Linked DNA regions of Arabidopsis thaliana. The protein of the gene in region 2 purifies or fractionates together with the protein of the main gene of each other region. This does not show direct contact. Each region holds a gene or a part of one and is shown on either strand. Other genes may lie near its edges. The genes, in order: ARF1 and ERD2.

Region 1 (4,700 bases), 1.9 Mb from region 2:
GAGACAACAGAATTGGATACAAAGCAGGAGCATTAAAGGCAGGAATGATGCACAACTATGTGAAACAATGCGAATTCGTCGCCATTTTCGATGCTGATTTTCAGCCTGATCCTGACTTTCTTGAACGAACCATTCCTTTTCTTATTCACAACCATGAAATCTCTCTTGTTCAATGCCGTTGGAAGTTTGGTAAAGTCATATCTTTTTTGAAAAATAATAGTTATTATTTTGTTAAGTCAAATTGGCTAATGGAGAGAATGTGTTACATGTAGTGAATGCAAACGAGTGCTTAATGACAAGAATGCAAGAGATGTCACTAAACTACCATTTTGTGGCTGAGCAAGAATCTGGATCTTCAATACATGCTTTCTTTGGATTCAATGGAACCGCGGGTGTATGGAGAATCGCAGCTTTAAACGAAGCTGGAGGATGGAAAGATCGAACAACCGTAGAAGATATGGATTTAGCAGTAAGAGCTTGTCTTCATGGTTGGAAATTTGTCTATGTCCATGACGTCGAGGTACTACTACTATAACCCTTTTAAACTCAAGCAAAACATAACAAGATTTCATTCAAGACATTATTAAGTAATCTAACATTTCAGGTGAAAAATGAATTGCCAAGTACATTCAAAGCATACAGGTTTCAGCAACATAGATGGTCTTGTGGACCAGCTAATCTATGGAGGAAGATGACAATGGAAATCTTACAGAACAAGAAAGTGTCGGCCTGGAAGAAATTGTATCTCATATACAATTTCTTCTTCATAAGGAAGATTGTAGTACACATCTTCACATTTGTCTTCTACTGTCTGATATTACCAACAACTGTGCTATTCCCTGAGCTCCAAGTTCCTAAATGGGCAACTGTTTATTTTCCTACTACAATCACTATCCTTAACGCAATCGCTACACCTCGGTAACAACATCTCTACTGTTCAAGTAAAACTCTGTTTTCTCATTTCCTAGTATGATAAAAAGTTTGACATATATTGTCTACTGCAGATCACTCCATCTTCTTGTCTTTTGGATCTTATTCGAGAATGTAATGTCGATGCATCGCACAAAAGCGACATTCATCGGGTTACTAGAGGCAGGACGGGTTAACGAATGGGTTGTTACTGAAAAATTAGGTGACACTCTCAAGTCTAAGTTAATAGGTAAAGCTACAACTAAGCTTTATACCAGATTTGGACAAAGGTACTCTTAACTTAAAAACACACACACAATTACAATTTTTAAGCATTTTGAAATGTTGTAACTAATTTTAGTTAACATTTTGCAGACTCAACTGGAGAGAACTCGTTGTTGGATTATATATATTCTTCTGCGGATGTTACGATTTCGCATATGGAGGATCATACTTTTATGTTTATCTGTTTTTACAGTCTTGTGCATTTTTTGTTGCTGGAGTTGGTTATATTGGCACATTTGTTCCAACTGTTTAGATTAGACTTTTGTATTTGAGAGCAAATGTGTTTTTGCTATTTGATTAGACCAAATTAGAGATTGGATCTTGGTTACTTAAACCAAGTTAACTCTTCCAATATTCATACTCAAAATGTAATTTTTTAAATGGTGTTATGATCTTAAAATTTGGTTATCGATCATATTCATACGTAACATTTTATGAATTTGTATTTGCCAATTGTGTTCTAGAAAGAAAATTGAGAGAAACATACAAAAAAAACAAGTCAACGTCAATGATTTAAGATGTTGAAAATGACATGGCGGTTTTGGATTGGTTAGATGCAATCCACGGCCAATGACCCATCACGCATGTAAACCGCGTAAGCACAAGGCCCCTCCACGAAAACATTCGTCGAGGGGTATTCTAGGTATTACCGGTGATAATTTATGTGAATTGACGTTTTTATCCTTTGCCTCTATAAAGATCTTCTTCCGTTTTTGCAATTACGGCGTCGCGCATTTAGCGTTGTTTTGAAGCTCTCTCTTTCAAATTCTGTTCGTCTCTCGCGATCTCTCTCTCTCTCTCAGATAGCTCCGAAACTTTCACGCAGAGGTATTATTGATCTAGATCTGAGCTAAGGCATTCTCAATTTTGATTGTTTCAGTGTGTTCTTAGGTTGGGAATTGAATATTCTTGCTTCGATTTAGGATTTTTCTTATGATGATCCGTTGTATCTTTGGGTAATGCTTTGGATTTCGATGTTTTTGGTTGAAAATTCTGATTTCGATCTGCTGCTGCATCGTTTCAAGTCTGGATCTATGAACATTATCTTCGATTTCACCTTTTTCTCGTTGTAATTGCTTCAATTAGATTCTGAATTCCGCAAGATCTATACGATGAGGTTTTGTAAACGTTGTTGCATCTGTTTCGATCTGCGTTATTCTAATGATTTATAGTCAACATTTGGAGTTCTCGCTGGTGATCTCTCTTTATGTGATATTGATACTCTGTTTCTGTGTGTTAGTTAAGTGAAGCAGGATGGGATTGTCATTCGCCAAGCTTTTTAGCAGGCTTTTTGCCAAGAAGGAGATGAGAATTCTGATGGTTGGTCTTGATGCTGCTGGTAAGACCACCATTTTGTACAAGCTCAAGCTCGGAGAGATTGTAACCACCATTCCCACTATTGGTAAGCTTAAACATCATTTCATAATTCAGTGTTTCAAAAGCTTAGTTCCATCAACTTTGTTCATACCATTCATACAAAATTTTGTCTTCCACCTGCCGTGATGATTAAACTACTACAAACTGTGGACAGGGTTCAATGTGGAGACTGTGGAGTACAAGAACATCAGTTTCACAGTGTGGGATGTCGGCGGTCAGGATAAGGTATAAGATTATCCAACTCTAAAGCATTAAGAATTCTTTTTTTTTTGCATCACTACCTGGGGATCTTTTTCCTACTGTGTCTTGGTATTATTGTTGATGAACATAGAATTACACAAACTCACATGTCGCAAAACCTCCACTTCTTGTTGTCAGATCCGTCCCTTGTGGAGGCATTACTTCCAGAACACCCAAGGTCTTATCTTTGTGGTGGACAGCAATGACAGAGACCGTGTTGTTGAGGCTAGAGATGAATTGCACCGAATGTTGAATGAGGTCTGTATCAAGTGTTATATCTTTGCCTGTTGTATTGAATTCTTCATGTTTAGATGATTCAGTAAACTGTTTGTCGGGGTTTTACAGGACGAGCTGCGTGATGCTGTTCTGCTCGTATTTGCTAACAAGCAGGATCTCCCAAATGCTATGAATGCAGCTGAGATCACGGATAAGCTTGGTCTCCACTCTCTCCGTCAGCGTCACTGGTAAATAAAAACATTATAATCTCCCCTGCTTCCCTCATGTTGATTTGTTCTCCTGCACATAACGTTTCTTATGATATAGTTCCAAAGATTTATCACCTCTCTGATTGATTTTATGTCTACGAACTCTCTCCAGGTACATCCAGAGCACATGTGCCACTTCAGGCGAGGGGCTTTACGAAGGTCTTGACTGGTTGTCCAACAACATTGCCGGCAAGGTAAATTATCACAAACAACAATTTTGATTTGTGGATCAGTATTTTGAAGCAAATCGTGATTCTTGTTTCTGTGTTCTTGTTACTGGTTGTGCAGGCGTAGAGGGAAAGTTCGTGGTGGAGTTGATTTGCTGAGCAAATCTGGATGCAGGGGCAAACATTATCTGAATTTTTTTTTTGGTTTCCGTTTTCGTTATTGTTCTGCTTTTTTTTTTGGGATATGTCGATGGATTTTGTGATTGTACGTAGAACTTAGAAAAAAACTACCTTTTATATAGTTTTGGTAAAACTGTAATCGAAGATTTCACCTACTGCTTTCGTGGTTTTGGTCACATTTTACTTGTGCACTTTGATTCATATGTTGGAATGCGGTTTCGTTGGCACCTGCTACACGAAACTTGATGATTTTGCTAGTATTTGTCATATGAATCAAGTAGAGGAAAGCCATGACCAGTAGGCGAAATGCTAGAGTGTGGCAGAAGAGGAATGAGTAGACAATTTAATCATAAATCCACTTGTTTGAAAAAAAAGTTAACATTCAAAATTCTTTGCTGGCATCCTCTAATCCCTTTAATATTTCCAAATTCTCGCACTTTTTGAACACCACATTCATTTTTGTCAGAATATTGCGTTCTTAATTTGTCTAGAATAAGCACACTAAAACTAATAATTATCTTAACAACCATGGAATAACATAAATTATCTGTTTTTCTTTATAATATTTTTGTAGAATTGTAGGTTAATGAAATGTATAAATTGTGATTCTAAGAGTATATATGAATAGTACAATTGTACGGTTGGAACTATTTTGCGGATTACTGTTCAAAATTAATGTGTTTAAAGGTCACTGATTTACTTTCTTATTCTGCCAGCCATTAAGGGAACGTTAATCATCATTTTGACTAGAGTGATAGTTGCAAGGACGATATTAAATACAGTATTTGATAAGCAATTAAGGAAAATAAAAGAAACAGAAACAGAAACAGAAGATTTGAGTTTATTGAAGAAGGAATTTAGAGTGATTGGAGTTTTAATAAGTTTTGAGATGATTTTGGTGAATTTTGGTGAATTAGGAAATTTGTCACTAAAATTTCCTCAAATCTCACCTAAAACCATGAGATTTATATGTTTGAATTTTAAACTAAGAAAATTCCCTATAATCTCACCTAAAGTCACTCAAATCACTTCAAATTATCAAAGATTAATTCATTGG
Region 2 (5,431 bases):
GATTGTTCCAATTACTATAATATAACAAAAACAAGTTTTAGCTATCGATTTTTCCAAAGTTTTACAACGAAGTTTTTATAAGTTAACATGAAGTAATAATAGTATATGTTTTAAAATTATACGTTTTTTTGTATGAAATTAAATGTTACATTACACTATTAAAGATTCCAATAATTAAAACACATGTTACAATGAGTAAATTTTATTATCAGACAATAAACATCTCTTTGCTCTAAGAAGAAACCTATGCTAGTGAAGCGTTGACTCTGGAAAGATGCAAGTGCAACGTGTCGCTGAAACATTGAAGGCGCGTGTAGAAAAATGTTAAGCTAAAGGGAAGTTCACTTTCTTTAACCAAGTTTTGCGTTTTGCAAATTACAACTAAAGAATCCACTAAAGCTAACCCAACTAAATTCAAACATTTTTCTATGTGATCAGTTTACCATCAAACTATTTCATATTTTTGCAATGTGTAGTAAAAACTTTCTTTGTTACATTATATGCTTCTTTTATAAGCAAAAATACCATATTACATTACATGTTCATTTCATTTTTGTTTGGTATTTGCGCTTACAATTTACAAAATGATTTTGTTTGATACTATTTACATTTACATGTGAAATTATTGTGTTCATCGTAAAACGTTCAAAATTTCTAAAAATTGTAAGAAATTATTGTAAATGTAAACAAAGTCGGTTTCCTATAAAACCACACGTCTGAACCACCTTAATCATCATCACAACATGAAATTACAAAAGCAGCGACTTTGTCGATTGCCGTAGTTTCATTGTAGCATAGATAATCCCGTCACGTGATGTTATCTATTTTTAACTGTTTCAATGTAGTCAGAAAAGCTATTTGTTTGATTTCAGAACTGTTTGATTAGTGGCCATTGAAAAATTCTATAATCTATAGTCAATAGTCTATACACAATTGAAAATGGTATAGTTGATTTTTTAAAATACGCCATTAAATAAAATTATATATAGAACTTCTCTATAATCGATAAAGTCGAACACTCCAGGCAACAAGCGGACCGACCACGGAGTCTAACGTAAGAGTATTATTAGTGATACTGTAGGTTTTCTTTGACTAACGATAAAGAAAAAACAAACATGTTTAATTTCTCGTGTCCTCTATATTCATGAGTCATGACGTTCATACAATTTATTCTTGTTTTAAATGACGTTCATACATCATTTTCATGGTTGTCTATTAGTTCACTAGAAAAACGAAGTCTTGAACGTTGAAGCGAAGCATTGAATATCATTTTATAATTTTATGGACTAAACTATACATTTCAATCATCTTTGCAAAAAAGAAAAAAAAAAATGAGTTAGATCATAAGGAGTCAGGACAACAGCTAGCACAAAAATCTCAAAATCCTATACTGTTTAACCCAAAACAACCGTAGAACAAATATTATTATACACCCAAAAAAAAAAACATATTTGCAATCACATTAGTTTGTAAACACTTCTATTTCGTTCCATAACCAAAAAAAAAAAAAAAAAAAAATCAACATTCAATTTTTTATTTTAAAACATGTTTGCATATGTTCATGGTATGACATTGGGTATTAATCTATCACAGAGAGCTAAAGCCCATATAAATAATAACAGAAGGCCCATATCTATTAATAACCAACTCTTAACCGGTCCATTCTAACTGTTTTTCTCAAATACAAAACACGTGGATAACACGAGGAATTAAAATTGAAGTTAAACACCACACCATGTCGCGTACGAAGCTGCCACATCACTGTTCTATTAACACGTGGCTTAATATGATGCAATATAGACCCACCGATAGCTGGCGCTTTCTAGTTTACCAAGGTGCGACGTACCAGATAACACCACCTCTCCACTTTTGAAAATTAAAACGCTCTCTTTTGGTAATTATTTAGGGAAACTTCGATAATTAATCGAATAATGAAGGACTAATTTGCAGTTTTAAGGAAATAAGTAAGCACACACGTTAGAGAAGAAAGACCGTTCCAGATTGCCACGTCATCGTCTCCTCTCAACGAGTTTCTGCAAAACCTGAAACGTGCTGCACCTTGCCTCTCTTTCTCTCTCTTCCTTCGTTTCTCTCTCGATTTGAAGAGAGAAAATTCGTTCGATTTCGTTTTCTCTTCTTCTTTTGGATTTTCCCGGAAAATTTTGGAATCGGTGAGTCTCTATCGATTACTGGTCAACCATGAATATCTTTAGATTTGCTGGCGATATGAGTCACTTGATCAGTGTCTTAATCCTTCTTCTCAAAATCTACGCGACGAAATCTTGCGCTGGTGAGTTCTCTCTCTCTCTCTCTCTTTCATGAAATGTGTTGTGTATATTTTGAAGACGAGCTCGTAGACGAAACAATCGCATTTTGCTTTGACCTTTTGTTTTCCTTTCCATAGCTTTCAAATGCAATCTTATTTGAATCCTGTTGAGGTCTATTTATCGATTTCGAGGCGAATCCGAGTTGGTAGATTGAAATTGCAAGTCAAAATAGTTGTGAAATCTCAATCTTCGAAACCACTATGGAATTTCTAAACGAGTGAGATCTCTCACCCCTAAATTGCATTAGGTTTAACGGAAAATTGCTACACGGAATGGAAAATGCTTGTAGATGCTCATGATTTTCTCATAGATTGTGCAGCTCCTAACATTGTTGCTGTTGACTTTTGGATTTTGTTGGCTAGGAATCTCTCTCAAGACTCAAGAGCTCTATGCGCTTGTGTTCTTGACTCGGTACTTGGATCTGTTTACGGATTATGTATCTCTGTACAACAGCATCATGAAGATTGTCTTCATTGCCAGCTCTTTGGCTATCGTTTGGTGTATGCGTAGGCATCCACTTGTGAGGAGGTCATACGATAAGGACCTGGACACATTTCGTCATCAGTATGTTGTGTTAGCGTGTTTTGTACTGGGACTTATCCTGAATGAAAAATTCACAGTTCAAGAGGTATTTTCATATGAATTTCACATTGCTTTTGTGTTTTTAGGTTGTAGAGACTAGGAAAGCGAATACTTGTTGTTAGAAGACATGCATATGTTGTGTAATCTTGTTTTTGGTTTATTTATTCATTTGATTCATTCGGTTCCTTCTTCTTATATCATTTGGATTTGGTAACTATCTTGGCTAGTGTAGAATAGAATATCGTCTATGTAAATGAAACTGAACATAACTCCTTCCAGAACCAATTAGGAGTCCGGCGTTTATAGTTTTATTTTTGCTTGTTTAAACGTTGTACTACCTATGTAGCCTCTCACTCGCTGATTGTTTTGAGAAACTCTTTGAATATCAAACTGTTGCATCGTGAAAGGTTTGTTTGCTTCCATTCATGGAATCTTCTGTGTCCTACCTACCTATGTTCCATAAGGTGCCCCATGGATTAGTGTCATCTGTATCTCGCTGTTACTTTTCTGGCCATTGTGTTCTTTGATTATCTTGTCATAAGAAACTGTAGTGACTCCTTATATGCACTTCACTAAGATCGTTTTCCCTTACTACCTTCATATGTATTTTTCCAGTATATGCTCTTGGTAAAGATCTGATCTTTGCAAACTGCCTTCACTCTTTAAGTATTTTTGCAGCATTGTGGCCTCTCTGTGTTGATAGCCAGAATCATTGTGCAATATGTTAATTCTGTGCATTCCAAACCATTTCAGGTGTTCTGGGCGTTTTCTATCTACTTAGAGGCAGTTGCTATCCTTCCCCAGTTGGTTCTGCTACAAAGAAGTGGGAATGTCGACAATTTGACTGGGCAATATGTTGTCTTTCTCGGGTACGTAATTCTAACCAGACATATGCGTTTGCTCACTTGATCTCCACTGGCTTCTCTGTTGGGTTTGTTTTTAGAATTGGTTTATCTTATATATATACTGTGTCTTTCACTGCTCATGCACTTGTTAACTTGATCAATGAGAATCGCTCTCCAGTGTCATTGTGGTGTTTAAAAATCAGTGCATATTTCTAAAGTCCAGACATTGTTTTCCGTTTAATGTTAATGCGTCTGGAAGCTGAGCTGAACTATATTTTTTTCTATAAAGGAAATCAGACTGCTTTACATCTTGCTATGCATTTGGTTCTGATGCATACCTTTGTGTCCAGTGCACAATATTTCAATGTGCAAAATTGAGTAAGTATTCTGTATGCACTCACATGGGCAATGATTAACATGCAGGGCGTATCGGGGACTCTATATTATCAACTGGATCTATCGCTATTTCACAGAAGATCATTTCACTAGATGGATTGGTAATGTTTCAACAAAGAAGCACTAAATGCATTTTAACCATTTGTTTTTCCTCAATGCTAATGTTTTACGTAAATCCATTTTCCAGCTTGTGTGTCTGGTCTTGTCCAAACAGCTCTCTATGCGGATTTCTTCTACTACTACTACATAAGGTAAAGTAACCTCACCAGTCTGAATAATATTCTCTTTATAGTTACTGATCATGTTACTGACTTTGGATCCTTTTTGATTTTGTTGTAGCTGGAAAACCAACACCAAACTTAAGCTTCCGGCTTGAAAAGAACCCGAATTTTTTTGCAATAGTATCAAAATCCAGGAAGTTACAGCAATGGTGACATTAGAAAAGAAAGACATGGTTAACATTTGGGTCCTCCCTCTTTCTAACAATGAGTTGAAAATTGAATGATGCAGGATTGTTGTTTAAAATGTGTTTTTTTTTTAGTCTTTAATGCACATTGTAACTTTCCCGACGATTTTAGACATTGAGAAGAGGCATCGTTTTATCAAAACTAGTCTTTATAGATAACACACAAACTCTGTTTCTTTTGTGCGAGTGTTTAGTTCAAAACTGTAGCTCAGATCAGAGCCAAGTTAACAATGTGTCTTCAAAACTTAAACCTAGTCTTCTTGATTGTGTTTCACTATCTTGGTCTTCTTCTTGTGCTCTCGTGTCTTCTTGCTTCTTAGCTCGTCTTTCTCTTCACCTTCAGAGACTTTTTCTCTACTGCGTTTCTCTTTCTTTGACTTTTTTGTTTTGACCGGAGCCTTCTCAATCTCGTCTTCATTCTCCTCATCGTCTTCACCCTCAAAGACTATTTCTCTACTGCGTTTCTCTTTCTTTGACTTCTTTCTTTTCACAGGAGCCTTCTCTGTTTCATCATCTTCCTGGTCCATGATCGTCATCTTCTCCTCTGTGGCAGCCTCAGCCACTGTGTTTGCTACAGCTGTCTCTGCTTCAACCATGAATCCAATCATTTTACAAACATACTAACAGAGGAATACAAACATAGATGCGATTTGTGAACGGCATTAGAAAACAAACAAACCTTCTCCAGAAAAGCCCGAGTCGAATACAAGACCTGTAAGATGCTGCTTCAAGAAAACCTGCAATAAAACAATGATATATAAGTAAGACTCAACTTCACCAAAAAAATACTAGTCCAAAGGTTGAAGAGCATACCG

What was found.
Region 1: the proteins of ERD2 (region 2) and ARF1 purify together in Arabidopsis thaliana (affinity purification with western blotting, with the first as the bait; one study listed by BioGRID). This does not show direct contact.

What each region holds. Positions count from the first base shown.
Region 1 is NC_003070.9:8,334,784-8,339,483, forward strand, and holds ARF1 (ADP-ribosylation factor 1), read left to right. Parts: upstream 1-1,809; 5' UTR 1,810-2,022; intron 2,023-2,434; 5' UTR 2,435-2,448; coding exon 2,449-2,596; intron 2,597-2,725; coding exon 2,726-2,796; intron 2,797-2,949; coding exon 2,950-3,069; intron 3,070-3,156; coding exon 3,157-3,275; intron 3,276-3,408; coding exon 3,409-3,490; intron 3,491-3,584; coding exon 3,585-3,590; 3' UTR 3,591-4,044; downstream 4,045-4,700. Other genes in the region: CSLA03 (cellulose synthase-like A3), read left to right, coding at 1-189, 273-520, 605-918, 1,005-1,199, 1,285-1,447. UniProt on the Arabidopsis thaliana protein: GTP-binding protein involved in protein trafficking; may modulate vesicle budding and uncoating within the Golgi apparatus.
Region 2 is NC_003070.9:10,257,675-10,263,105, reverse strand, and holds ERD2 (ER lumen protein retaining receptor family protein), read left to right. Parts: upstream 1-1,873; 5' UTR 1,874-2,199; coding exon 2,200-2,290; intron 2,291-2,297; exon of another isoform or gene 2,298-2,544; intron 2,545-2,689; coding exon 2,690-2,955; intron 2,956-3,662; coding exon 3,663-3,778; intron 3,779-4,177; coding exon 4,178-4,251; intron 4,252-4,337; coding exon 4,338-4,401; intron 4,402-4,489; coding exon 4,490-4,526; 3' UTR 4,527-4,858; downstream 4,859-5,431. Other genes in the region: AT1G29320 (Transducin/WD40 repeat-like superfamily protein), read right to left, coding at 4,868-5,202, 5,296-5,353, 5,430-5,431. UniProt on the Arabidopsis thaliana protein: Required for the retention of luminal endoplasmic reticulum proteins. Determines the specificity of the luminal ER protein retention system. Also required for normal vesicular traffic through the Golgi. This receptor recognizes H-D-E-L.